Linked DNA regions of Xenopus tropicalis. The protein of the gene in region 3 purifies or fractionates together with the protein of the main gene of each other region. This does not show direct contact. Links are inferred from orthologs where the notes say so. Each region holds a gene or a part of one and is shown on either strand. Other genes may lie near its edges. The genes, in order: polr3b, polr2e, polr3d, polr3h, polr3gl, gpn3 and uncharacterized protein LOC496835.

Region 1 (4,140 bases), about 110 Mb from region 3:
AGGAAGGGGCCGTCCAAATTTCAATCAAAAACCTTTCTCAGCATGACGCCTTGCCAGTTGGAGGAAGATTGAAGGGGTTCGTTCAGGAATGGGAAAAAATCACCTCAGACAAATGGGTGTTACAAACAATAAGCCTAGGATATTCAATAGAATTCTATGGTCTTCCTCCAACAAGATTTATAGAAACACGCTTACCAAAACAAAGGGTTGCAAAACAAGCCATGGAATTAGCAATCCAAGAATTCAAAGAAATGAAAGTATTGATTCAGGTACCCCAAAAAGAAAAATTCAGGGGGGTCTACTCCCCAATCTTCCTTGTACCAAAACCAAACGGGAAATACAGAACCATCATAGATCTAAGATATTTAAATCAATTTATATTCAAGAAGAAGTTCAAAATGGAATCAATAAGATCCACCCTGTTAGCGCTTCGCGAAGGGGATGTGATGTGTACTATAGATCTAAAAGACGCCTACCTTCATATTCCCATAAGGGAATGTCACCATAAATTCTTAAGAGTAGCCATAAGGGGACCTGCAGGAACAGAACACCTTCAATTCGCAGCCCTGCCGTTTGGAATATCGAGTGCACCAAGAGTCTTTACAAAGGTAATAATAGTAGTCGCAGCGTACTTAAGAACTCAAGGTATTGCTATTATTCCTTATCTGGACGATTGTCTACTAAAAGCAGAAACCGATTTAGGGTTACAAAGGAACCTATTCAAAGCAATAGAGGTTTTCCAGTCATTGGGCTGGTTAATAAATTGGGAAAAATCCAATCTAAATCCTACAAAAGAGATAAAGTTTTTGGGAATGATCTGGAACACAGAAGAAGGAAGAATTTTCCTTCCTCCAGGAAAAAGGGAAAAAATCAGAGACAGAGTGCGCAAGTTTCAAAACAAAAAATTTTCTTCAATAAAGCAGGGTTTAGAAATTTTGGGTCTTTTTTCAGCAGTATTAGAAGCAGTTCCATGGGGTCGTGCCCATATGAAGGACCTGCAAAAATATATGAACTCAGTTTGGGATCATCAGAAGGCATCACTCAGAAAGAAACTCTATGTTCCACCGGAAATAAAGAAATCTCTTACTTGGTGGTTACACCCAGGGAACCTTTCAAAAGGTTCATCCCTATTTCCTATTCCTCCCTTAGTCATCACAACAGACGCAAGTGGCAAAGGTTGGGGAGCACATTTAGGAAACCTGGTAGAGCAAGGTATCTGGGAAAAAGGTATTGGTCATCAGGCAGCAAACTCCTTAGAGTTGGAAGCAGTATGGAGAGCTCTGCTTGCTTTCAAAACTATTGTAAAAGACCAAAATGTTCTAATACATACAGACAATGTGGCAACAGCCTACTATATAAATCACCAAGGAGGTTCCAGAAGCAAAGATCTGGGAATGAGAATAAAAAAGATCATGGGCTGGGGAGAAAAAAATCTAAAAAGTATTCTAGCCCGCCATATCTCTGGGCACAGCAATATCAGAGCAGACTTTTTAAGTCGCAGGTTGATACTCCCCGGGGAGTGGAGTCTAGATCCAGAAACATTTCTTCAGATTTGCAAGGTCTGGGGTTCTCCAGAAATAGACCTCATGGCCTCAAAGTACAATGCAAAGCATCAAAGATATTTTTCCCTTACAGCAGGCCAAGGCGAGGAAGCAGTGGATGCTCTAGCCCAATCATGGGATTTCAGCCTAGCATATGTCTTTCCGCCTATCCCTATGTTAGCAAGAGTGATCAAGAAAATTGCACTTTGCTCAACAGAAGTGATTCTAATAGCTCCTGCCTGGCCCAGAAGGAGTTGGTACTCCAGTCTCCTCCAACTTTCTGTCAGTCCTCCTTGGCTCCTTCCAGTGAAGGAAAATCTCCTACACCAGGGACCAATTTTGCATCCAAACCCTGCAGCTCTTCAGCTCACAGCATGGAGACTGAAAGGGATGTTATGAAAGCACAAGGGATATCTTCACCAGTCATTGAAGTTCTGTTACAGAGCAGGAAAGAAATTACAAATAAAATTTATCAAAGAATTTGGTCTTGTTTCAGGAAGTGGTGCTCAAATAAGAAACTAACTCCAGAAGATGTTCCAGTGTCAATCATATTAGATTTTCTACATGATGGATTTAAGAAGAAATTAGCTCCAAATACACTTAAGGTACACATTGCGGCCTTATCAGCTTTCAAGAACATATCCTTGGCGGAGCATCCATTGATCAAAAGATTTGTCAGGGCTGTTCAAAATATTAGACCTAAGACAAATAACCTAACTCCAAATTGGGACTTAGACATTGTGTTAAGAGCCTTACAAAATGTTCCTTTTGAACCCTTGGAAGAAGTTTCCCTGTATCATCTGTCCATTAAAACAGTATTTTTAGTGGCAGTTTGTTCAGCCAGACGCGTAGGAGAACTGCAAGCTTTATCATGTAAAAATTCGTGTCTACAAGTTTTTCCAGACAGGATCATTCTCAAAGCAGATCCTTGGTTCAGACCTAAAGTCTCATCTAATTTTCATAGAAACTTTGAAGTCATTCTTCCAGCTTTTTTTGCAGAACCAAGAAATAAAGTGGAGGAAAAGCTACACTTACTGGATGCCAAAAGATGTGTTTTGTTCTATTTAAACAAGGTAAAACCTTTTCGTATATCTCATAACCTTTTCGTTTCCTTTTGGGGAAAGAACAAGGGGAAGCGTGCCTCAAAAACTTCCATTTCCAGATGGATAAAACAGGCAATTTCCTTAGCCTATTCTGCTTCAGGAAAATCAATACCTCCAAACCTCAAGGCACATTCTACCAGAGCAGTGTCAGCCTCACAGGCAGAAGTTGGAGGTGTGTCAGTGGACCAGATATGTAGAACAGCTTCGTGGGCAAGTTTCAGAACATTTGCAGAGCATTACCGACTGAACGTAGGTACCCCTGGGGAAGTGGCGTTCGCAAATACGGTACTTTATTCAAATTGTAAAAAAAAAACCCCTTGACGTACTGCTACTCAACTCTCTCTAGTAAGTGCTGCCAAGGGACGTGAGGGAAATAACGGATTTATACTTGCGTAAATTCCTTTTCCCTCAGTCCCGAAGGCAGCACAATATCCCTCCCTTACAGTAAATATTCTATCAGCATTGTGTATGTGTCTTATTGCTTGAGAAAATCACTGAGGGCTAGAGGGAAGCAGAGGGACTTATAGGAGATGAGGGGGTGGAGTAATTAATTGGGGGGTGTGGTGTTTTCCTACCAGGTGGAAGTCATCTCTCTAGTAAGTGCTGCCTTCGGGACTGAGGGAAAAGGAATTTAAGTAAGTATAAATCCGTTATTTAGCCTTGATTTTTTGTTGAGCTTTAGTTTCCCTTTAAGAAAGAACCCTTGCTAATGGTTGTTTGTCCTTGTGTCTAGGTGCCATTTCTGCAAGTCGTCTTGTCATGTCTCCTCCTTGAGGATCCCCTACGCCTGCAAGTTGCTCTTCCAAGAGCTCCAGTCAATGAATATTATCCCCAGACTCAAACTGGCCAAGTATAATGAATAAACTGACTAGAGATGCACCAAATCCAGGATTCAGCTTGGGATTTGGCCAAGATGCAGCCTTTTCCAGCATGATTTGGATCCAGCCGAACCACTCCGAATCCTTAAAATCACTTGACTTTTTGTAACATAAACACAGTTCTCTTTAACCCCTCCGTAGCCTAATTTGCACATACAAATTAGGATTCGGATTCAGTTCAGTATTTGGCAAAATTTTTCACAAAAGATTCGGGGTTCGCCCAAAATAGTGGATTTGGTGCATCCCTAAAACTGACCCCCATCTGCCCCACAGAGGCTGTACATACAGCAAAGACTCTGCTTTGTTGGCATGTAAATAATATGATTTATTTAACCAGTACAAAGGACTTGCGGGTTGTGGCCAGCGGCCATTTTTCTTTATAGTGTTTTAAAGGAAACCCTATAAAGGCAAAAAGCTTGATGCTAGAGGAAGCCATATTTGGGGTGAAACAGCGTCTCTGTGAGTTTTCTGATATTTATAACGTTTCAGCAAATTTGAATAAACTGAAGCAACTATTTTTTTCTGTTTATAAGGAAATAAAATTGTATTTGCGGTCTCTAGTGTGTTACTATGTTCCAAGCCCTGATGCAGGCATATGGGGTCTGTTAGGCAGAATGT
Region 2 (3,181 bases), on a different chromosome or scaffold from region 3:
TTTTTTGTGTTTCCTTTGCACACTGTAAAAGAATAGTTATAGTTGATAATACTTGTGCTATGCACGTGGTGTTATGTTTTACATTTGTATAACCACAGCTTTCCCAATTACCTGCTTTAGCATTCCTCTCCTATGATACTATAATCACCTTTTAAAAGAAAGCCAGTAGGGTCAAACATAGTTCAGACGTAGGTGAAAAATGTAAATTTCGAAAAGGGATATAACACATTTAGTGTGCTCAAAGGCTGTACATAACAAAAAAACTATGCCAGCATAGGTAATTTACTGTGCAGTTTTGTTGTGGGATATACAATCATCTTCCTGGGTAGAAAGGATGAAAGAGGGCCTTTTTTGTTACTTGTGGCACACTTACAATATGACACGTGGTTCTTCTGTCCCTCCAAATGTGCCACTTGTATTGGCAGTACATCAGAAACCATTTAGATGCATTCAGTGATGCCGCCTTGCAAATTTGCAATGTAGTCCTGTTCTCAAGTGGTAAAGATTTCTCCATGTATAGGGAAGTTTACCTAAAAAAAATCTAACATACTAAAAACTAATTTGTATTTGTTATCTTAAATTGAAATCTTAACCTTCCTGCTGTTTAAATATATCTGCAAATATACAGTACCATACAATCTGTATGTAAATAAGATGCAAACCAGGCTATTGTTAAAATTGCATATTAATACTATTCCCAATATTTTTGAATGTGATTTTATTTTTAGCTCACAACATAGCTAAAGATATATCAGCTATAGTTCCAAGAATATCTTTTATAGCCAGTGAGGTTTCAAGAAGAGCATCCTCCCCAATTCACACCTTAACTGCCATTCAGTGCCCCATGCCTCTGCTAGAAGGCCCCCATTTTGGGGACATATGTATGTTTTTGTTCTACCTTTCGGGTGAAGATTTTGTTATGTGGTTGTATAAGAGCGAGAGATCAGTCTTTGCTTTCCTTTTGTACATCATTTCTCTTTTATTTCCAGTTGGTTCCAGAACACGTGGTAATGACAAAGGATGAGGTGACGGAATTGCTAGCTCGATAGTATCCTTTTTATTAACCTGCTTTTCTTGGAGAGTGATCGGCTTTTGCACACACACATGACGGAACTTGGATCAGAGATAATTGTTCTAATATGATCTTTCTATAGGTTCTGTATATCCCCCATGGATGATAGGAGTGAGTAACAGTTCAGAAGTCACACTGTTCTAATGCTGTTCACTGTTGGACAAAGCAATAGAGTGCCTTACGTTAATTTGAAATAGGTGTTTTTTCAGGTTTTAAAGAGGAGTATCACTTAATTCATCTCTTTAAACACACAGTATGGGACTTGCCAAGAAATTCTCTAGTTAGACCAGCATGGTTTTTTTTTAGCAATAATGTATTTTTTAAATATACTATATTATTTTACTTAAGTAGAGGTATGGGACCCGTTATCCAGAATGCTCGGGACCAAGGATATTCTGGATAAGGGGTCTTTATGTAAATTGGATCTCCATACCTTAAGTCTACTAAAAAACAAGAAAACATTAATTAAACCCAATAAAATTGTTTTGCCTCCAATAAGGGTTAATTGTATCTTAGTTGGGATCAAATACAAGGTACTGTTTTATTATTACAGAGAAAAAGAAAATGCATTTAAAAATCTGAATTATTTCGTTAAAATGGAGTCTATGGGAGACAGGCTTTCCGTAATTCAGAGCTTTCTGGATAACGGGTTTCCGGATAACTGATCCCATACCTTTAATATCATTTGGCCTTAATAACATCTACAGCAAACTTCGGGAGTCTCAGCTTCCCCGTATTCAGGCTGGTGACCCTGTGGCAAGATACTTTGGGTTAAAGCGTGGTCAGGTAAGAGAGAGAGTGTCTATGGCCTTTTATTTCTTTTCTTATTCTATTTTTTTGTTCATTATAATTTTATAGAGACTATAATTTTGCTTTCCTGTAACTTTTTTCAGTGTTTTAGTGTTGGGACTTGAGAGATATCTGTATGTCTAATGAAAATAAAAATACAGCTTCATCATTGCATTGTTTTGATCCTTATAAACATTGCTTTGTATGAAATAATTTATTCCTTAATAGGTTATAAAGGGCTATGACTAACTGGAAGATTAGTCAGCCCTGGTTCACTGCAATGCAGGGGACTAATATCTAGTGGGAAGGCATACGTGCTGCTTTATTTTCTCAAGTTGCATAAAGTTTCCTCTTGCGACTTTGGAAAACAAAACAACACTTATGCCCTTCCCACCAGCAATTTACTTTAGTGCCCGTGGAAAGGCACTTTGAGGTCATTAGTCACCTGTGGATAAGTCTCCCATGGCACTGAGCTCCCTTCTCTAGTATCAACAGGATATTTTAAACCATCGGCTTTTCTAATATATTTATGGAATTGTATGGGAATCATCTTTCAATAAATATTTTTTTCCAGACAGACAAATTCATCAGTCTGAAAAAAGCCACAATATCTGTGATTGTTGGCACCAGTTCCTGACCTCCTTAGGGTAATAGTGTAATGCAGTCCCTTACTCACCATGTTCTATTGTTAGTTCTAAACTTAAAATCCCTTTGCTTTCCATAATGGTTGGTATAGAGATTGTGGAAAGCAGAGGGGCTTCATGTCATAGAATCTATCACATCACAGTGGATCAAGGTGAGGGTGGGAGTTGTATAACACTGTAAACCTAAGGCAGCTAAGGAACTGGTCCCAGAGATCATGGTTTCTTTTTTTCCCTCTAAGTTAAGATATTGTTTATGCACCTTTTCTACATAAGGTAAATATACCCCCATGTTGACATGAGCTCACGGCAATAGACAAACAGAATTTGCTTTAAATAATACACAAAGAATTGTACTTCTTGTGTTGACCCCTGCATTATTTAAAATGAGTTTGTATGTTCTCTGTGTGGCAGGTTGACTGGCTCCTGATGATTATTGGCCCTATTTTGTGAATTGGCTAGGTAATCTTAAACTTCACTGAGGCAGGGACTTTGTTTCTATAGTGCCAACATATTCTGCAGCACTTTCGAGATTATATATTATTCACATTAGTCCTTGCCCAGTAAAGCTTACAGTCCTGGCACTTTCACACATACCATGGTGAATTTTACCAGCAGACTCAACTTTTCTGTATGATTTTGTGTGGAAGGAAACGGGAGTATTCAGAAGAACATACAA
Region 3 (4,788 bases):
AGGGAGTCCGTTCTTGAAGATGAACTGATAGAGATGTTTGGCAAGAACACTAAAGGCTCATTTACAAAGCCCCCTTGCAGTGTGCAAAAAAAAAAAGGTCTGCAATCGCCCATTTTTTGCACTTTGCCCACTGTGTAGTTTAAAAAGGGTGGCTGGAGGGGCACACAGGCGTCCTTTCCTCCCGCCCCCTATCTTGTACTTAATACTGAGGTATTGGCAAGGTAGTAGCAGCACGATGTTCAGCCCAAAGTGGGGCCCATCCTGAGGCTTTGCTTGTCACTCAGCATCAAATATTTTTTTTTATCCGGCACAGAGTGCAGGGGGGCGCAAGAGACTTCTCAAATGTGCTTTTGTGCACCTCATTGCTCTTACCCCTCCATGACTGAATATGACCCGTAAAACACCTATGATATAAATGAATCTTCACTGAGAGTCCTACAGCCAAAAAAACTTAAAGGGCACCTATCACACCAATATTGTTTCCTCCACCAGAGGTGTGGCCTAATAGAGCCTGCATTCCAGTTGAGAGAAACAAGAGTTTAAAAAAAAAAAAAAAAAAAAAAAACTTCCAGCGCCGGGCTACCCTCACTGGGAGAGAGCTCCCAGTACGATCGGCTATGTTGGTCGGCGCACATGCGCGGATATCCCCGCTTACTTACTATGCACGTGTCGTAGGAGTGGTGGATGTAAATCACCCTCCTAAGTTACACACATGCGCATAATGAGTTATGTTGTCAAGTTGCGGCTCCAACATGGCTGGCCACAACGGGGGCTCCCTCCCAGCGCTGTCAGGGGCAGTTTTTAAAAGAAAGGCTATTGTTTCCCCTATTTGGTGGGGGGTGCCCTTTAAGAGCTGTGATAGACAGGGAGATTATTTGCCAAGCGACTAATCTCCCTGTCTGTCACAGCCCTAATAACCGCACCAGGGCAGTATTAAGTTAGGGTGACACATGAAGCTACTACTAGCAGCTACTTGTCATGGCTACTAAAATAGTCAATGCTGATCATTTACTGATAATTGTCTTTTTTTTTTTTTTTTTAATTCAGGCAAGTTTATTGAGAAGATTTTACATCAGTTTCAGCATATATACATCACATTTATGAGGCAGAGTTCCACAATGTAGTTTTAGTATATGACATGTTTTGCAGTAACAAAAGTTGCAACAGCATTTTAAATTACATTATAACCTTATCTTTTGTATGCACTTTCCTTTCCCTTGTCATTGCTGACTGTTTCCCTCGGATGTTGGCACATATTACAGTTACAAACATACTATCATAAAATGCTTTGAGAAAATACCGCCATAGCTCACTTAAGTGGATTTTTCTAGCCATTTTCCCCATATTTTTTCGTGTTTTTTGGGGGCTCCTCTAGTTTTATATATTAGACTTTCCATTGCACATAGGTGTTTGACTTCAGAGAGCCAATGTGAATATTTGGGGGGTGTTGAGTCTTTCCATTTCCTTGTTATTGCTTTTTTTTGCTAAAAATAAACATTCTCTGGTGACTGATAATTGTCTCTACATGTGTTTTAGCAGAGGCAATTCTCAGTACTGTCTATGGCAGGGCATTTTCTGGGGTTTAGTAGCAATGAAAAGTAGCTGCTTCTAAGTATATTCGTGTGTCTTCGCCCTTAGTGACAGTACGGCCTGGTTGAGATACATGTGATATCCAACATACATATATGTGCAGATATTAGAACTGGCAGTAGATAGTCACATTTGACCAGCCACTTCTCTGTAAGAACAGCCAATGGAAACCCACCTTTCTGACTCCGCCAAGCGTAAGATCTCGGGAGCGGATGGAAGGAAGGCGACCTGGGGTAAGAGGAGTAGAAGATCTGCGTCCCACAAGCCCCCTGCCCATTGGAGTACGCGGCCCCCCACCATCGTTGCTTGGATTACCGTCAGACATTCTGTTGGGGAGAATTAATACATGAGAATGGGGATAGGAACGTTTCCTACACCTACGTGGTGGTGTTTATGTTACTGCTTGCTTTCTATAAAACACTGTCTATATATTTATATACAAAACTGGCCACCTGTAGTGGAGGCTAAGCCCCAGGGCCACCATGAGGGATTTTAGGGCAGTGACACACAGGGAGATTAGTCACAGTGTGACAAATCTTCGTCGTCGCGGGCGACTAAACTCCCTGCAATGCCATCCCACCAGCTATAATGTAAATCGCCGGTGAGATGGCATACGCAGCACCGCGATTTGCCAAAGTTCCCTTGCAAGGAAACTTCGCGCTACTTCGGCAAATCGCGGTGGCGCATATGCCATCCCACCGCCGATTTACATTCTAGCTGGTGGGATGGGATTGCGGGGAGAAAGAATGGTCTTGAGGCGACTAATCTCCCTGTGTGCATACGCAGCACCGCTATTTGCCGAAGTTGCCTTGAGAGGAAACTTCGGGCGACTTTGGCAAATCGCGGGGCTGCATATGCCATCCCACCGCTGATTTACATTCTAGCGGGATGGTCGGACGGGATTAGTCGCCCACAACAACGAAGATTGGTTGCGTGGAGACTAATCTCCCCGTGTGTCACTGCCCTTAGGGTGAAGACACACGGAGCTACTAGTAGCAGCTACTTTTTCACGGCTACTAAATACCAGAAAATCCCCGCCATAGACAATACTGAGAATTGCCTCTGCCAAAACACACCAAGAGACAATTATCAGTAAATGATCAGCATTGTCTGTTTCTGTAGCCACAACAAGTAGCTGTTACTAGTAGCTCTGTGTGTCTTCAGCCTTAAAAGGGCCCGCTGTGCTTACCTGGATTAGTCAGGTCCCCTGCTGTCAGTGAGCTGTAGACTTCAGAAGGGAGCTGGGGAGTCTGCTTGTTCTTTCCCCGCTGCAAATACCGTAGCTCCAATGCTCCTCTCCCAAAACTGCAGCTCACTGACAGCAGAGGGCCCGGCTGATCCAAGAAAGTGCATAGTTCTCAACACCATTGCTTTACCTTACTTACACCTCCCAGAGCTGTTACTTGCTTCCGCCTTTCCACATGTCTCACACGAAATCCCGACGCCGCAAGTCTCATCACGCGAGAGTGTGACGTCACGCCTACATATAAGTGCAGGGACACGGGACGTAGCCGCCTTGTGGGAGTGGCGAGCGGACTGAGCGGAGCCCTCAAGTTGTTGGAGAGTGCTGCTGAGTCTGCTCGAACTAAATAGGAAAAAAATTTGTGTGCAAAACATGGGTGGGTAAAATGATAGGATCTTTTTAGCAACTTTGTAATTTGAGGGTAGCTGTATTTTTTTTTCTAAAAGTTTCAGGGTTCCAAAGGGCGTCAGTAAAGATCCCTGTTTGGCAGATGAGTTTGCCCACACTGACTGCCACCCACAGTTACCCAAAATCAGTTATTTTATGTTCTGATCCAGAGTTTTATATGAAGACTGGAATGATACTTTTCCATCATTTAGGGACAACATATGGGCTAATATAAAAGTATCTTGCGGGTATAATGAGTAGTCTGTAGTTTTAGGGTGCTTATTGATGGTAGTGTCCAAGAATCTGCTCACAGCAGAGCCTCTTCTCCCAATTTGGCTAAAAAAGTTTTTTGTTTTTTTAAAGAATCAGGTTTGGGGTTTTTTTTTTTTGGAGAATTATGTAAATGTTTACTCTGTCATACATTTTGGGTCAAAAATAATATGATTATTATTATTATTAAAGGAGACATATCCTATATAAATTATGAATGTACCAGTGAATTATACTCCTCTAGATATAGAAGGAATGTGCTTAAAAAAGTTGTGTTTCAGACTGATTTATTGAGAAATTCCCCCAAAACCCCACTAGCCCCGCCCATCTGTTCCACTTCCTGCTGGCTGAATTCTCTGGATGAGCTGGGGAGCCGGCGGCCCTCCGTACACTGCACTGTAGGATAGGAACCAATCAGCAGCTAGGCTGACCTGATAGGGAACTGAAGCCTGTCTGCGCTTGTGTGAGTGCAGGGCTGTGATTGGCTCTCCCCCTCCTACTGTGCTTCTGGCAGGGACCGTTAGGACTCGCCCACTCTTTATTTCAAACTTGGTCAGAGAAGAGACAGGATCTATAGGGAGCTCCAACAAAGGGGCCATTTTTACAGATAGGATTAATTTTAAACACAATGGGAAACCAGCACCGAATATTATTCATAATTGCCTACAAAATTAGGGTTTTTCCCATTTATCCAATATGTCTCCTTTAAATAGTGCAAAATCCAAATATTTGATCCCTACTCCAAATACCTTGTGTCCCAGGTCCAATATTAGTTGTGTGTAACTCGTCTGTCTTTAGACCTAACATAAGGTGAAAATGGAAAAAAAAAAAGCTTGATATTGTTTACAAAAGTACATGCTCGTTATATTTTACTACCACTCTTTTTTGTAATTATCACACCAAGTTATGTTGCTAAATTATAACACCCAAATCCACTTGAGGTCTATGAGCACCCAATGTGACCACTTCTGTGAATTTGCAGATTTTCCGTCTCCCTTCACTTTTATAAATCAGACATTATCAAAAAACATTTTTGATCAATGGATATCCAGTTAGGAAGCTTGATAGTAAACCAGCAACTTCTCAGTTTTCCTTCTCCACTTATATTTACTCAGGAATGCTAACAAATGCACGCTACGGGGGGGGAGATTTACAAATCCACGAATCCGAATCCCAAAAGGGAAAAAATTGTATTGGAAATGAAAATTTTGCGACTTTTTCATCGGCGTCGAAATTTTTCGTATTTGTCGCCACTTTATTGTATTTTGCGCGACTTTTGCGTCGCCGGTGAGATTTTT
Region 4 (2,807 bases), on a different chromosome or scaffold from region 3:
TTTCTTACCACCAATGTGTAGGGTGCCTCTTTGCGAGGAGTCTCCTCTGCAACCGCCGTTGACGAGGAGGCTTCTGCTGAGCTGGGTCCGGTTGGAGATGTGTCTATAAAGGTCTCATCCACCATTCGGAATCTGATATCCTCACCCACATCCATGTACAGGTCATGAGCACCCTCCTCTGTCTCATATTCCCATACCCATACCTGTTCGGCCTCATCACTGAGAGCAAAAATTGTCAAGGAAATGTTGATAGGAAATATACACACTTACTAAACAGACTAAAGGAATCTCACAGCTACTACTTCTGCTACATGAGGGGCCATAACAGTTGTCCCTGTTACCACAAAAGATACAATTTTGCTGGTTGCTGCAAGGACTCCGGAGGTATAACAATATCATCAAAGAAGCCTAGGGAAACTGTGGGAGGAATTAAGAATCATGTATTATCTGCAAGATTAAGGAGCTGAACAAGACATGTCTAGCAGAATCAAACAATCCCATTACTTCCTACCAACAATAGATCTAACATTTTAGGGTAATAGCACATGGGGAGATTTGTTGACCATGTTTAAATCTTGGCTACTGCAGAAGTTTAAACTGCGGGACACAAATCTCCCTGTCTGCTATTAAACTTAAAGGAAAAGACCACCTTTACATTAATATTAAGTATGATATCATAATATGTTTTGGGCAGGGCCCTCTTTTGCTTCTGTAGCAGTCATTGGCTGTATTTTTGTATTTATTGTACAGCGCTGTGCAATATGTTGGCGCTTTATAAATACATCACAGTGAAATACTGAGACAATTACAGAAGTACAGTACACTAATGCCGATCTAAGCAAATAGGGTATGAGATCTGAGGATTCCAAACAATTTTACATACTCACCATGCACACCTTCTGGGCTACAACCTTTAATCTTCCCCATGAGGATCTCATCAAGGAAAGGACGAAATACCACATACCGGAACTGCACTAAAAGTGACACGCCGATTAAAGGATAGTGGCACAAAAATTATTTAAAGCACTATGCCAAAGCTTGTGCTCTTAAGGTACCATAAACATGTAAACATATGGCTAAAAAACTTCAGAACTAGTGAAGGTTTGAACTAAAATGTATGTGATTCTGCTACAGAAAGTCATATTGTTCTCACTGAGCGAGGAATAGGACTGAAGTAAGACACAAGGTGAAAAAATATTGTAAGGAAAGATTTGCTAGGTTGGTAACACAGGAAATAGTTGTAAAGTCAAAGGTGTTGGGAGTTAGAAAGGTTAAATAAAAAGAGCAGAAGCAAAAAACAGGAAATAGGGTAAACTGTCACTCTGGTGCCAAAGTGGTTAAATATTAAAGGAAAAGTTAAATCACTGGGGGATGCCAAATGTTATGCACCATTTATCTTTTGGCCAGGGCAAGATTAACCATTTGCCTAAACTGTAATGTTTATAGTTAAGTCTTTTTTTAAGCAACTTTTGCCTTAAAAAAAAAATACCACTCTGCTGCAACTCCCAGCATCCTAGAGGCTGCCAATAGTTATTATTGAAACGCTGGGAGTTCTAGGTCAGGTCTATCTAAAGGGCTACAGGATAGACTTTCAGAGAGTGTTACCTTTTGTATGTGATGCACCATCTCCAGGAAATATATAGGAGTCATCCATTTTTGTAATGTCAAAAAGGCAGATACAGAGACCCACGTTATATACAACCTAAGCACAAAGAAGCAGAATGTGATTTGATTTTATGGAATGGAAGAAAGAGGGCGTTAATGGGATTTAAATGGAGGTGGCAATAAGTTTGTTCCACGTTTGCTGTGTTGGTTAATTTACACTGTGTTTGCACATATAATCCCTCCTTCCTATTATGTTAAATGTTAAAGAGTTCTACCCAAAATAACACATACACAATGTACATAATGCATCATCAAGAAAAATATTACAACCCAATCCAATACTACACAGTACTGATCAGCTTTGAATATCAAATCTTCTAATTCTTTCCCATAGTAAGAGAGAGAGAACCAATATTAGGCTGACCATACGGCGCAATACTAGTCAAGTAAATCTACCATTCACATTAGAGCTGGATACTTTCCTATTTCTGCCTACATTAAATCTGGGCATGCACAAATGGAAACTTGGTGCCAAAGGCAACTTGTGTAGTAGCAGGTCTAAATACTTAATATTCAGAAATTCTAGCTAGAAGTATATTGTATTGAGACTATATTGATAGACGTGCACAATGGAACATGAAAAGGCATTACTTGTTTACTATGTGAATGTTAAAGATACAAACATAAATGTGTGCATATACATACTATAAAATGTAGATTATATAGGCAAATTACATTGCTTTTAAGCTGTACCAAAGTATATGTATATACATGACATGAATAAGTCTTGGAAGTGCCATGCAAAACAGGCTCTATCATTTTTTTAAAATTCATATTTACCCAAGAATCATGCATTTGAAACCAAATGCAGACAGAGGAGGGACAAACTAACATCACTTGCATTTTGCTAATTTATAATCAAGTATTGCGTTTAATAAACTGAGCATATGCTGGTCATATGTGTTTTTTTATGGGGCCCATGTGCAATCTGCACGGCATGCCCTCTACATCACCTCGAGCCTATAACGCTGTTACACGTGCCACCTTTGTTCACTAACAATACCGGTTTAAGGGTCGAGGCAGGCATGAACGGCAGTTGAAGGCAGGGCAATAAGTTAACAGGAAGGGTAAATAGGCAGGCTGGGCAAGAAAATGGCCATGGCAGAGGTGGGCCTCTGCTTATAAGGTTTGATCAGCAGTGG
Region 5 (4,140 bases), on a different chromosome or scaffold from region 3:
GACTTATTGCAAACTATATCTTGTATTTATTGTTATACTTTGTATTTTTCTATTATTATCTTAATAACCCCCTGTTTGTATTAATGTATTCTACTGTACAGCGCTGCGTACATAAGTAGCGCTTTATAAATAAAGATATACATACATACATCTATTGGCAGTAAAATGCCTTTTCTTCTCCTTTAAGTACCCGGGAAGGAAAAAGGGCTCTACTACTGTATATGCTAAAAAACTTCTGTAACCACAGAGGGTGACAGAGTAAAGACAACCCCCTTTTTGTGGTTTTAAGGAAAATCTAAACTCAGCTATCCCTGAGTTTTGTATCATAATTACGATAAACTTAATCACAACACTCATTCTGAAATTGAAATAAAGTGCCGGTGGGTATCACAATCTATGTGTGTTATAACTGATAAATATCTATAATGAATAACGTGACCAGTGCTTTTTGCTTTAAATTACCATAAAGTGACCGTGTCATAAAAACCTGTGCATTCTGCACTGCATTCAGCCATGTAGCATCAGCTATGACAAATGTAACCTTATTTTTGCAGCATAATTTCCAACGACCCCTGAGGTTTCCTTCTTTACAGTATCCAACAGCACACTGAGCATGTGCAGTGCCACTGACACTCAAAAGATGGCCTAACAAGACCCCAAGAATGGGAGGTTGCTGTATACAAATTCGAAAGCATGGATCATTGCAGTTATAGGGCTGCTGAACCAAAGGTATTTTACTGTATTGTTAGTTAATGTAAATGTATTGCTAGCCATGTTCTTGTTTACCCTTCTATTTTCCTACATGTTTAAGGATAGCATGTTCAGCTTTCAAGTGCTGCCAGTTTACGCCAACTCCTCACCTTAACCAATGGGGAGCAACTGTGAAGTGAAGCAACCTAGGGTGCAAGTTCCCAGAGTGAGCGAGACGACATGGGCATGCACATAACATAACTGGGGGTAGTGTGCCTGGGGAGTCACAGACATGCATGAGAAGTAGACCGGGGAGATTAAGTAAAACTGCATGGGGGGCTGGTAAAAAATCAGGCATTTGCATTAAAAACCACACGCCCATATGATTCTATTGCTTTACTTGCCCTTGCAACAATAAATGATATAGTGCTTTTTAGGGCAACCAAATAGAGCCAAGCTAAACACACCTTTCTTGGGAGCAGCGGGCTTGATGAAGTACGGGAGAGTCTTCATGGCTCCTCGGAGTTCTTGTTTCAACGCCAGCATATATTCCACCTCCTCCCCTGTCTGCAGGGGTACTGGTTTGTATTCCAGGTTCTGAACAAAACAACAAAGAGAGTAGGATGATATACACAGTGTATAGCTCTTAATGGAGAAGAAAAGATGAAATCACAGAGGGGGTGCCAAATGTTAGGCACCCCCCAGTAATTATAATTACTTACCTGATACCCCACGCTGGTGCTCCTGTTAGCAGAAAACTGCAGCAGCCTGGGGTACTTCAGACCTAGCACCACTGCATTATCTACATCTTGTTTCTTCTTCACTTCAGTAAAGTGAAAAGCCAAGTTTGCTTTTTCACACACATGCACACATGCACCCTGGGTGATTGAGGAATGAAGAAGTGAAAGAAGAGGATTGTTCTGTGGTGCTTGCTCAGAGTACCCCAGGGCAGAGCAGTTTTATACTAAATGGACCACCGGCCCAGAGTATCAGGTAAGTCATTATAATCACTGAAGGGAGTGCCCCCCCCCCCCCAGTAATTTAACCATTCCTTGTCCTTTAAAAAGAAACTGCAGGGAATGTTTAACAAAACTGTTGTACATAGAGTTGCTGCATGAATTTCTTTTGAGTTCCGCAACCTAACATGTTTCCCAGCTGTAAACAACACACCCTACTGTCAGTCACTGACAGGTAAAGTCCAGTCTGATTCCAGCATGAGTATGCAATGCACTACTGACACACAGCATGGCTGGGTTTTCTTTCAAGTGAAAAAAGTTAGGAAAGTAAGGAAAAAATAATAAAACCTATTAGTACAAAAAAATGAATAAAGACCTAATACTATCCAGGTAAGTAGCATTTAAACCCATGACAAATGAAAAATAAGCCTATGTATATTCTATAAACATAACAGTATAACTAAAAGGCCATTATACCTTAGGGAAGGCCACATGTATCTCACTTGTAAAGGGCCCATAGTAGCAAACAGGTGGATGGCAGGCACAGGGGTGGGCAACTGGGCACTGTAATGAAAAATGCAGACCCTGATCCTGCCACCCAACAGGCAAAAAGTCAGAAAGCAATAGAAGGCAGTGCACAATGGGCAGACAGGGAAAACAGATACTAAAATGCTAAGATATGGATCAGGAGCCTGTAGTTCACTGCTTCTTGCTGAAATTCAGTCTGCTGACTCCAATAACACATATCAGCAGTCAAAAATATGGGGAGTTGTGGTTTAGTTACAATATGTTCCCCACTCATGCCTATTTTGGTACATTTCTATACATAGCATGTACACTTTAAAGGAAAGTAAGTAAAAAATCTATTCTACCCTGCTCCAATAATTGCCCTATCCTGCACACCATTTATTATTTTGAATGCTTTATTAGAAAATTTCTGCTAAAACCCGGCTTCCGGTCATTTGAAATAAGGCGATACGGCGATGTAGAAGCAGAATCCACTACGCGACGATCAATCCTAGCCTTCCTTCTGTATAGGAAGGAGTCAGGCAAGGATCGATCAAAGGAGTCAGGCTGTGATCGATCAATTCTGCTTCTGCATCGCCTTATTTCAAATGACCGGAAGCCAGGTTTTAGCAGGTATTTTCTAATAAAGCATTCAAAATAATAAACGGTGTGCAGGATAGGGCAATTATTGGAGCAGGGTAGAATAGATTTTTTTACTTAAAAATTTTTAGTGTTACTTTTCCTTTAATACCAAAGCTGTATAGAGCTTAACTTACCGGGAACAACGGGGGAGGTTGGAGAGTGGGTGGCGGCAGTGCTTCCCCTCTGGTAATTCCAACAGCTTCTACATTAAAGGTCAGTTGGCCCCGACCGCTACCTCTGCCTTTTCCAGCCATCTTGTGCTATGCCCAAGAAACAGTAGAATAACCTAGCCTGGGTATAAGAGATATCAACATCACCTGACATTTTGTATATGTTGTTGTATATTTTGTTTTTGTATATATCTCATGACTTCCTTCATGTAGTGTATAGCAATCCAACAATGTTCCACCATCCAGTAAAAAGGCTTCCCAGAAGAATATGGGTTGGTATAACAGATAACATATTCATATTAATACCCTTGGCTAAAGATCTCAAAGGGCTATTCCACCAAACCCACAGACTTGTATTTCTACCCACTTGGACCCACTTCTCACTATAAAACTGGAAGCTTTATCATCAGACCAAAAATGTGGTCGTCATAAACTCAGAAGTAAACTCATCCAGGAGCAAGGGGAGGTGGCAAGTAAGGAAAAGGAACCCAGCAAGGCAGCGACCCATTGCCACATCTGCTTTTCTTGGCTGCAACTGGCCAAATACCTGTGTTTCTTCAGGTAAGATGGACTATACTTTTGGTTTCATTAAAATAATGTGGAACTATGATTAAGTGTGTTTTTGGGCACAATATGTGTAAGGTTGTAGAGATAATGTTATAAACAGAGATTTTGACTACTATTTTGTGCCCTTTGTGGATAAATTGGATTACCCATCACCTATTTTTGCTTTGTTATGGTCTTTCTGCTTCCCTGAGCTAAAGGTCAGTAGCACCCAGACTGCTTTCTTGAATTGGTATGTCTTCTACATAGATTTGTGCTTTGGTGCCCTTCTGTTTTGTTTTGTTTTAATTAACAGAGACAGTGGACAGGTAGATGTCCAGATACTTGTGGTCATCCAACACTGGGTTTAACTTTTAGTGCTCATCATCTATTTTTACTTTGTTATGATAGCCTGTCGGCTTCCCTGAGCTAAGGACCTGGAGCAGCAGGACCACTTCTTTTTTTGTTTTGTTTAAATTCATTAAATAATGGACAGGTAGGTGTCCAGATACTTTTGGTAATATAAGGTATCACTTGGGCTAACGTTCCCTTTAAAGGGGTTGTTTGCCTTCAATGTCTAATTTTTAGTAAACCACCAACAATGCTTGCAGCATTTTACATAAAAAAAGTAC
Region 6 (4,734 bases), on a different chromosome or scaffold from region 3:
AAGTCCACAAAGTGCCTCTGTCAGTTTCTTGAACTTGTTACTTTTAAATCGATTTGATGTATCTTCAATCATGGAATACATGTCTGGATCTAAAAACCTAAAAATAGAAAGAAAGAGTTAACCACAAACATGCAGATCTCTCGACACTTTTGCAGTTTTTTTTTTTCAATCTATATTTTTTAAGTCTTGATATCATGCATGGTAACATAACTGTCAATAATGAACAGTTTTAATGACACTGTAAAGCCATTTCCACAAATCTGACCCAAAAACTCATAATAAAAATTAAACTTACTTTTCAATTTCTTTTTTGGCTTTTTTCCCTAATAAATCCATCTTTGTCATTATATTACATTGCGGTATCTCTAAGGAAACCATAGCACTGAGAGCAGCCAAAACCCCAGAAAGAAACTGAAACAAAACACACAAGATGCACAATGATTTTTTATTATCACATAATCACTACAGCCTTTTCTGGTAGGTTAGTTTATAGATCATGCTGGCTGCTAGTTTAGTTTCCCATTTCTAAGACACAAGTGATAATTGTCTTCATATAAATCAAATAATTTTTTCTGTGTTTTAATTTTTTTTCTTTGTCTAGCAATGCTGACTGGAGAAGTTTGCACTGTTTATAAGCTTGAGGAAGCATTTTCTCAGAATTTATTTATTAGGCTTCTTGCAACAAGTTGAAAGAACATATTCACCAGTTAAACCCTGTGTGGATCTAGAAGCACACAGCAGCCTTATGATTCCTTTTATCTTCCATATTAACACCTCTGTGGGTAATATATTTTTAAGCCATGTGTACACCTATGTTTAGGTTACCAAACTATTCAGCAAGGGGCCAAATTGATTTGTTTCTTTTGCCTTGATATAAACCATTACAGAATTGCAAAATGGCTTGAAAGCCATTACAAAGATTGGTACCTCTACAAATAACAATACTACCAAGGGACCTGCTAACTGCCCTATGTGAATCAACTTAAATAACACTTCTGACTAAATTATGAGCAAGGAAGCCCCCATCTGCTAATCTGCTGGACAACAAAAGGTTTTACAAGTATGCATGCAGGGGCACTGCTGCTATTAAGCGTGTTAAGAAACTGGCCTCAGGCACAGTGCCGGCAAGTTACCAAGGGCAGCAAAAAGCACTACTGGTAACTTCAAGAGCCGAAATCCCAATTTTTAAATTGGAATTTAGGCTCTTTTATTGAGGAGGGTGCTATTGCACTCTCTGCACTAGCAAAAGGCCCCCCCTGACACGAAAAAGCAACTTGGCAGCTAGAACCCCTGCGGCACCGCTGTATGCATGTAATGTGAAAACATTTCACTCTGCTACTGTACCTTGAATGATTCCACCATGAACTGAGAGTCAACAAGAAAAACCCCACAGACCCTAAATTCCCATTGCTGGAGCTGCTCCACGAGGTACTTCATGACAGGCAGATGAGTATACAGCTCAATTTGACCTAAGAAGCAAAAGCAAAATTTTCAAAACCAGGTCTAGCACAGCAAATGTACATATGTTTTTTTTTTTTTATTTAAGTTAACAAAAGAAAATATCCATTAAATTCAACCCTTCAGAGCATCTGCCAGCATCACTAACTCATTCCAAAACAACTGTTTGCTAAAGTTCTCACCTGGACAGTCAAAAAGTATGTAATCATCTTCTGTGTGTCCAAGGCAACTCTCCAGCCAGTCAAAATTGTTGGCAAAATACTCCATACAATATACAAGGCCCCCATTTGGGCCAAATCGCAATGAACGATCCTCCATCACATCATCCACTTCAATCAGTTCCCGGATATCTTAAAAAAACAAAAACAAAAGATAATTATTTTCACTGTTAGACTAGAGAAAATGCACTTTCATCCGAAGCAATACAAATAGTTATTTCACAGGGGACTGGTTAGACTGTAGAATGCTCTACTTGGTGAAGCAGAGATAACTTTATCAAACAGGACTATGAAACATTTTTATTGGCACACCTGTGTTACATTATTCTATTTGTAATATTTAAGCAAACAGCATTTAATAGTTATTTCTCCACTAAGATAATCTGACATATGTAAGGGAGTGGTTTACCAGCCAATACAGGATAATCAAAATGCTCAGCTGCAGGATCCAGATTAACCACTTGGACAGATCGGTTCAAACTCCCACAGTGCTGCACCATGGTGGAACAATAAGTGCTCTGAAATACAAAGATTAATAATCACCATCTGCCAAAAAGATGTAATTAAAAAAAAATTCTACTGTTGTAATATATTAGACACACATAGGTCTATACATATGCCAAGGCTCCTTTGTGGCATTCTAGACTTGCTCATATGCAATACATAAAATTAGAAAACCTTATGTGATACTGACACCAAAAAAAAAAACCTTACCTATTTTTTATGTACATAAAAACTTACCTATAGGTCATGTTGGTCATATTTTACTGATAGGCTGCTTTTGTAAGGAATTGCTACTTTAAGGGCCTAAACCTGACTATTTTGCCAACCTGACTGTCCCTTTTCAACCTATTGGAATTTACAGTTACAGACTATTGCTGCACAAATATGGCAGCCTCCTTCTAGAGGTACTGGTAACGTAAAAGCATTTTAAAAAGAAAGTATACAGCTCATGCAAAGACAATGTTATAAGCTATTAAAAACAGTTTAATTGTAGGTGTCAGTATATAGTCAGTATATAGTTAGTACTGCGCACATGCCTAGGCATCCTACTGTAATTATTATTTTACTTTCTTTTAATAGCAAACAAGAGAGGTCTCTTCTTCAGGCTCCAGGAAAAACTGGAAAAGGGATCCCGAACTGCAGAAATCTTACACTGTAATACTGCTCTATAGTTACCCATTAAAGGTATGATACAAATCCACAATTTTGAGAGACCAAACCCAGAAATTACCTTTCCGCTGCCGGCGGGCCCCATAACGAGCTGTGCATATCGCGGCATTCTCCTTGCATCAGACTTGAAAACTGCCCAGGTGATCCAATAAGGAGCAAGAACACCTAGTTCCCCACAGTCCCTTTGCAATAAGACATGCCGGAAGCGCCTCCTTGCCTGTAATGCTGCCTAGTAGTCGCGCTGCTGTACTTCCGGGACGCTTTGCTACGGACGCCTCACCTTCCCTGCGATTAAGCTGGCGCCCTCTAGCGGCCATGAGACGCACTAGCTGTGCTAATGTTATAACTTCCTGCTTGCGAAGCCTTGGGTGGGACAGCGGAAGTACAGATACTACAACGTTTGGTCTCCCGGATTCCTTTCAAATATTCAGGGGTGTTAAAGATGCCGGTGAGTTTTTTCTTTTTCCTGCGTATTCTATGCTGCGTTGGAGCAGCCGGATCTCGGGGCAGGAGGCGAACTGGGGTAGAGCAGGGCTTGCCCGCCGGTACCTGCATTACTTAGAGCCAATGGCCATAATGATAAGATTCGGTGTTGCCAATGTCTGGGGCCCAGTGCAGGTACGCTTCCGCGTTAGCATTGCCGGCTGCACCGCGGCCCCCAGAATCCCTACAGCTAAGGGCTCATTGTATGTTCTGTATGTTGCCTTTTAGTCTTATGAACACACCAGCGATTGACTGTATGTGATCTCTCTGGCGCTGGTAAGGCAGAACGCCCCCACTACCGTGCCAGTGCCAGTGCCCACGTATATATATTGAAGGAATTGCCTAGAGATGAAATGAGGGTGGATCGCTGGGCTTTTTCTTTCTACCTGTTTCATGTGATCTTGCGCAAGGATCTCTCATTGCTTCCCCAGCGCTCCTATCATATGTAACACGGTCACAGAACTGCCATACGGTATTATTTTATTTGTGATGGGATAGGGGTGGGCTACAGCTAGTCAGGCCACTACTTGCCCTGCAGATTGTGCAAAAAGGGGAAGAGTGTTAGTCATGCAGGAAGTGGCTGGGGCCGACACACGGGAGGCATTTGCTTAGCTGTCAGCTACATTGCTGCAACCCAACTCATACACTTTAGCAGCCATACACAGTGTTTCATTTTCAGATTGCGAAACGTTCTATAATTAGGTAAATGCATTTTCTTTTATCCTCAGACATAAATATAGCAAGGCCTTCTAGAAAATATGTATATGATGTACTGTTCCATAAATATTATATGACTGCTTAAAAGTTGTGTGTAGATACATGAAAATGAGCTCCTAATTGCATCCAAATCCCCTGGTTTGATGTTAAATACTCTTTAAAAATTCAGATCTGTATAACCCAACTTGCAGACAAATTACTAAGCTACTGCCAAGATCGGTGTCAGTTTTTGGAACATGGCTTCTGTTGTAGAGTTTGGGATGTATTCAGAATAACCAGTAAGGGCTAAAAGGATCCAAAAGCCATCCCTTGTGGAATAAACATGATACACTTCCCCAATTGAGTTTTTAAGACTTCTTTAATGGAAAACTATACCTTCAGAACAAATACTTCACAAACAGATAATTTACTTACTTATAAGTAAATATTACCATCTAACATATTCTAGGGCAGTGCTGTCCAACTTCTGTTGTACCGAGGGCCGGAATTTTTCTTGCCTACATGGTGGAGGGCCGATAATGGAAGACACTTTTGACCACTCCCCTTTTTTAAACCACACCCACTTCAAACTACACCCATGCTATCACAAGAGCTTTTAAGACCATCCCCACATTAATGGTGGCAACACAGCAAAAACCCAATGGTTGGTGCTCACTGAAGGGATATCACCCTTAATTTATATATG
Region 7 (4,771 bases), on a different chromosome or scaffold from region 3:
ATACCCAGGCACTATACACAGGTACTATACACCATTTTTTTTTTTTTTTGTCATTGTTTTGTTCATTTATAGTAAGTTACAGTGGGGCCAATGTTGTGTATCAGTGCCAGTGTTATAGTGCCAGGGCCTGAATATCTGCCATCAGTACCCACTGCATCTCCCTGTATATAATGTGCTGGGTTTGTAAATACGGACTGCGTCTCACTGTATATAATGGGGAGTCAGTACCCACTGCCTTTCTTGCTATAAAACTAACATAAACACATCTAAAGGGGTGGTTCACTTTTAAGTTAACCTTTAGTATGTTATAAAATGGCCTATTCCTAGCAACTTTGCAATTGGTCTTTCTAATTAATTTTTTTGAATAATTTGCCTTTCTCTTCTGCCTCTATACAGATTTCAAATGGGGGCCAAAAAATATTGCTCTGTGAGGCTACAATTTTATTATTATTATAATTTTGTATTACTTATTTTTCTAAGTAGGCCCCTTAACTATTCATATTCCCATCTCTTGTTTAAACCACTACCTGGTTGCTAGGGTAAATAAGACCCTAGCAACCAGATAGCTGCTGAAATACCAAATGGAGAGCTGCTGAACAAAAAGCTAAATAACTGAAAAACCATTAAAAATAAAAGTGAATTGAATGCGAACTACCCCTTTAAGCTAACTGATCACAAACACAAATGTTTGCAGATCCCGCGTGCGCGTATGAATACTTTTACATCCTAAACATTTTAGGGTAAAAAAAAAAAAGCACCCCCACCCGCACTTTTGTACAGTATCCCTGGTAGTCAGTGGGAACGGCAAGAGGTAGTTGGGAGGTTAACTTTTTACGCCAGCAGCGAATCCACTAAGTGTCACATTAGCTGTAGGTCGGACTGTGTATGGGCCATCTTTAGCCTCCCCTAGTATCATCCTGCAAAAAAAAAATATATATTTTTAAATATATATATATATATATATTTGTCTGTTGCAGGATGATGCTAGCTTACTTGCCCCCCCTTGGAAAATTTTCTGCGGACGCCCATGTTTGTAAGGATTATATGGTAGGGGGAAAAATTTTTTGCTGCGCACGCTGCAATTTTTCCCCCTTTCTCTTCCTAATTAGCATATTTCGGGTTTGGGATTCCTAGATTATAATCACTTACCTATGACTGGCTTGGGGTATTATCCTTATTAGCGCCATGCAGTCATCTTATTGCTGTTCTCTGAATCTTTGCAGTGGCCCTACTCTGTGTTTAAGTGCAAGAGAAGCCTACCTGTCATTTCACATTGAATTACACATTTTACTATGCTGCACATAGGCACAGGACAGGCCTCACAAGAATAGTACACAGGGCCAGTGTATTTTAAGTGAAAATAATAATGATGATTATAATAACTGTATGAGGGGTTTGCACCTCCCTCCATTGACTACCCATTTCCTTTTTTAAAGGAAGAGAACAGTTTTTTCAAGTTTTATAAACACACCAGTATTTTTAATATGAACACAGTTACTAACCATACAATAGTGTTACACGCACATATATCATTAAAAATTGTATAAAGAAACCACTTACCAGCCCATTGGTCCCATAGTTTCAGCTCGGATCTTGCCACGTTTTGCTTCTTTGAGAAGCTCTTCTACAGCTTTCCTGCATCGGCATAAAAGAGCAAGAAATTAGCATTAACAATATCGGCTGTACAGCCCAACATATATAAGTATTGCTACATAAATAAAAATCTACACACATGTTTTGGGGGGAAAGTTCTTTTACACCAATTTAAAGAGGACAAAAAATGTATCAAACGCATGAAATAAGGCCTATTAACATTATTAAACATTAGTATACTTTACGTTTTTTTTTTAAAAATTCCATTATTTCAACAAATCTGCCTCCAACTAGCAGTCTCTTCTTTTGGTCTCCAGGCAAGTACACTGAATATGTATTAATATGGCAACGGCACCAAAAACTGCATGACCAAACTGCTTTTATTGGTTTACTATTTTATTATAAGTGGGCTGAGAGTGTTCTAAGCAAAATCTATGGGACCTACAAATCCTGAACCATGCACAGTGCTTCCCAGAGACATGTAAATGTGCACAATCCTAATTCCATCTATGGCTGCTTGGTATTATACCAACCCAGCCGGTCAAAATAATGCTTGATGTCAATGTTATTAATAGGGAAGAAAGATAATTACATAGAAAGGCCAGTATTTTTTTTTTTTTTTACAAAAAAGTGAAAACCAAAATCACATCTCTAATTGCTGCTTTATTGATGTAGTTTAACTTTAACTCCCACTGCAACAACCAACCCTGGAAGCTGTAATTCCACAATACAAAAAGGGCTATTGGTTGCCTTTCAGTGATATACATGAACCACAGTCTGGCCAGCTGGCTTTCAGTACCAGTAAGAGCTCTCTATAGCCTACGGATCAACACTATGGGGCAGATTTACTAATCCACGAACGGTCCGAAGGCATCCGCATGCGTTTTTTTCGCAATGATCGGTATTTTTGCGACTTTTTCGTATATTTTCTGCAACTTTTTCGTCGCCGTCGCGAAAAAATCGGATTGGTTTTTCCGCCGTTTACAATCGCTCAATACGAAAAAATTGCAACGGCGACGAAATAGTTGCGCAAAATACGATAATGTCGTGTCGGCGACGAAAAAGTCGCGACAAATACGAAAAAGTTGCGGCGGCGACGAAAAGACGGCAAAATTTTCTTTCCAATCTGAATTTTTGCCATTCCGGTTTCGGATTCGTGGATTAGTAAATCTCCCCCTATGTATTCCTAACAAGGACCCAAAAGTAACTGCACCCAATCAGTCCCCACTTCCCCAGCAACAGCTGTCCCATAACAATTCATGTATATATTATTATTTATCCTTCACCCACTACCCAAGCAGTCTCTGCACTATAAAGCGTTCACTGGGGTAAAACATAGACAGCTCACAAGCAGCAGCATGCAATTTTATTTCTATTTCGCATATACTTCGTACCGTTCCAATTCGTCTTCCTGCATTTCTGCTCTGCAGCAAAGGAACCCGGAAATACACTGGCGAGATGGCAACAACGCCAAGCAGCGCAGCGACTTCCGGAATGGGCGGGGCCAGAGGCGTCACTGAGCTGCGGAGTGCCTCCCTAGTGCTGAAGGGAATATATATATATATAGTTTTGGGCAGCGCTGTGAGATCACATGGATAGTAAAATATTGATTAACACTACGACGACTGTCATCAATGGTTAAAAAAAGTTGTGGAATGATTGTGCTAAGTTTACCCAAACTCTGGCGCAAAACCATAGGGGGTTTTGGGGGGGGCAAGTTGGAGAACACAGCAAAGTGGTTCTAGTGTAGGGATACCCTAACTTTTTTACCTGTTAGTAACTTTAAAATGAGTTGGGGAACAAAACAAACTTGAAAAACCTCAGAGATTGTGCCAAATACTGGCGTATTGAGAAAACAATTTCCACTCTGCATTCCTCCCTGTCACTAATGCCTGTAGGTTGGCAGCGCGGTTAAAGGAACAGTAACGCCAAAAATGAAAGTGTATTAAAGTATTTAAAATATAATGTACTGTTGCCCTGCACAGGTAAAGTTGTGTGTTTGCTACAGTAACTCTACTATAATTTATATATAATAAGCTGCTGTGTAGCCATGGGGGCAGCCATTCAACCTTGAAAAAGGAGAAAAGGCACAGGTTACATAGCAGATAACAGATAAGCTCTGTAGAATATAATGGGGTTTTATCTGTTATCTGCTATGTGCCTGTGCCTTTTCTCCTTTGAATGGCTGCCCCCATGGCTACACAGCACCTTTGTTTATATAAACTATAGACTTTCTGAGGCAAACACACCAGCTGTACCAGTGCAGGGCAACAGTTCATTATATTGTAATTATTTTTATACACTTTCATTTTTTGCCTCCAAGCCAGGAATTCAAAAATAAGTGCCTGCATTAAGGCCTCAGGGAGTAACATTAAATGGGATCACTGTGCTAGTCCCTTACTTGCTACACAGGAATGGTGTTTCTCTTTTTCAAAAAGTGCAGCAGCCCAGGCAGTCGGACTGGCCCCCCAGGATACCAGGAAAACTCCCGGTGGGCCCAGGTGTCGGTGGGCCCTCCTGCTCCTGACCATTTGGCCTGCTTCATGGCCATTCCCTATTTCTGAATGGGAACAGAGAGGAGAAATAGTGTAAATAAAAAAGACTAGGAGAATAAAGAGGGTGGGTGAGAAAAAATAGTTCGGAGAGTGGGCCTATAGTCTAAGGCAGGGATCCCCAACCTTTTTTACTTGTGAGCCACACTCCGATGAAGTGGATTAAAATGATGCCTCTGTATTTTCAAAACTAGTCTCTATGCTACAAATGTAATAACAGGCACCTACTTTGAGGCCACTGGGAGCAACATCAGAGATGGTTGGGAGCAACATGTTGCTCACGAGCCACTGGTTGGGGATCACTGGTCTAAGGTTTTCCGGTGGGCCCCTGGGGTCCCAGTCCAACACTGAGTCCAGGTTACTGTTTGAGGCAGGGGGTGGAGGAGGCATGTCTGTGCATTCAGAAGCCTGACTGGGATGGGGGCCTCCAATGTGAGCCCTGGACACCACACTCTGACACTGGTTTCAGGCACCAACTGTATGTGTCAGGCTTTCTTGTTCTGCCCTACGCAATGAGACCCTTGCCTCAGGCAGCACTGATGCAAAGACAACCCTGGCAATGTTAATTTGTGCCCTCCAAACATTTGGAAAACAGAAAGAGGGACAAAAGGAAGAACCGTGCGTAG

The links.
Region 1: the proteins of polr3d (region 3) and polr3b purify together in Homo sapiens (affinity purification with mass spectrometry; 8 studies listed by BioGRID and IntAct, counting the BioPlex papers as one, with this or other methods). This does not show direct contact. The link is inferred for Xenopus tropicalis from reciprocal best matches to the Homo sapiens genes POLR3D and POLR3B.
Region 2: the proteins of polr3d (region 3) and polr2e purify together in Homo sapiens (affinity purification with mass spectrometry; 6 studies listed by BioGRID and IntAct, counting the BioPlex papers as one, with this or other methods). This does not show direct contact. The link is inferred for Xenopus tropicalis from reciprocal best matches to the Homo sapiens genes POLR3D and POLR2E.
Region 4: the proteins of polr3d (region 3) and polr3h purify together in Homo sapiens (affinity purification with mass spectrometry; 6 studies listed by BioGRID and IntAct, counting the BioPlex papers as one, with this or other methods). This does not show direct contact. The link is inferred for Xenopus tropicalis from reciprocal best matches to the Homo sapiens genes POLR3D and POLR3H.
Region 5: the proteins of polr3d (region 3) and polr3gl purify together in Homo sapiens (co-immunoprecipitation; 4 studies listed by BioGRID and IntAct, counting the BioPlex papers as one, with this or other methods). This does not show direct contact. The link is inferred for Xenopus tropicalis from reciprocal best matches to the Homo sapiens genes POLR3D and POLR3GL.
Region 6: the proteins of polr3d (region 3) and gpn3 purify together in Homo sapiens (affinity purification with mass spectrometry; 3 studies listed by BioGRID and IntAct, counting the BioPlex papers as one, with this or other methods). This does not show direct contact. The link is inferred for Xenopus tropicalis from reciprocal best matches to the Homo sapiens genes POLR3D and GPN3.
Region 7: the proteins of polr3d (region 3) and uncharacterized protein LOC496835 purify together in Homo sapiens (affinity purification with mass spectrometry; 6 studies listed by BioGRID and IntAct, counting the BioPlex papers as one, with this or other methods). This does not show direct contact. The link is inferred for Xenopus tropicalis from reciprocal best matches to the Homo sapiens genes POLR3D and POLR1D.

The regions. Positions count from the first base shown.
Region 1 is NC_030679.2:15,932,158-15,936,297, reverse strand, and holds the end of polr3b (DNA-directed RNA polymerase III subunit RPC2), read left to right. Parts: intron 1-3,377; coding exon 3,378-3,507; 3' UTR 3,508-4,078; downstream 4,079-4,140. UniProt on the Homo sapiens protein: Catalytic core component of RNA polymerase III (Pol III), a DNA-dependent RNA polymerase which synthesizes small non-coding RNAs using the four ribonucleoside triphosphates as substrates.
Region 2 is NC_030677.2:100,193,502-100,196,682, reverse strand, and holds part of polr2e (DNA-directed RNA polymerases I, II, and III subunit RPABC1), read left to right. Parts: intron 1-989; coding exon 990-1,048; intron 1,049-1,779; coding exon 1,780-1,858; intron 1,859-3,181. UniProt on the Homo sapiens protein: DNA-dependent RNA polymerase catalyzes the transcription of DNA into RNA using the four ribonucleoside triphosphates as substrates.
Region 3 is NC_030679.2:129,689,445-129,694,232, reverse strand, and holds the start of polr3d (DNA-directed RNA polymerase III subunit RPC4), read right to left. Parts: upstream 3,028-4,788; 5' UTR 2,967-3,027; intron 1,917-2,966; 5' UTR 1,916-1,916; coding exon 1,766-1,915; intron 1-1,765. UniProt on the Homo sapiens protein: DNA-dependent RNA polymerase catalyzes the transcription of DNA into RNA using the four ribonucleoside triphosphates as substrates.
Region 4 is NC_030680.2:120,319,548-120,322,354, reverse strand, and holds part of polr3h (DNA-directed RNA polymerase III subunit RPC8), read right to left. Parts: intron 1,703-2,807; coding exon 1,606-1,702; intron 975-1,605; coding exon 888-974; intron 418-887; coding exon 354-417; intron 220-353; coding exon 9-219; intron 1-8.
Region 5 is NC_030684.2:128,432,526-128,436,665, reverse strand, and holds part of polr3gl (DNA-directed RNA polymerase III subunit RPC7-like), read right to left. Parts: intron 3,087-4,140; 5' UTR 3,050-3,086; coding exon 2,930-3,049; intron 1,288-2,929; coding exon 1,158-1,287; intron 1-1,157. UniProt on the Homo sapiens protein: DNA-dependent RNA polymerase catalyzes the transcription of DNA into RNA using the four ribonucleoside triphosphates as substrates. Specific peripheric component of RNA polymerase III which synthesizes small RNAs, such as 5S rRNA and tRNAs.
Region 6 is NC_030677.2:162,794,853-162,799,586, reverse strand, and holds the start of gpn3 (GPN-loop GTPase 3), read right to left. Parts: upstream 3,056-4,734; 5' UTR 2,959-3,055; coding exon 2,911-2,958; intron 2,195-2,910; coding exon 2,086-2,194; intron 1,809-2,085; coding exon 1,641-1,808; intron 1,470-1,640; coding exon 1,345-1,469; intron 412-1,344; coding exon 296-411; intron 98-295; coding exon 1-97. Other genes in the region: arpc3 (actin-related protein 2/3 complex subunit 3), read left to right, coding at 3,292-3,297. UniProt on the Homo sapiens protein: Small GTPase required for proper localization of RNA polymerase II (RNAPII). May act at an RNAP assembly step prior to nuclear import.
Region 7 is NC_030678.2:155,277,489-155,282,259, forward strand, and holds the start of uncharacterized protein LOC496835, read right to left. Parts: upstream 3,017-4,771; 5' UTR 3,011-3,016; coding exon 2,988-3,010; intron 1,636-2,987; coding exon 1,561-1,635; intron 1-1,560.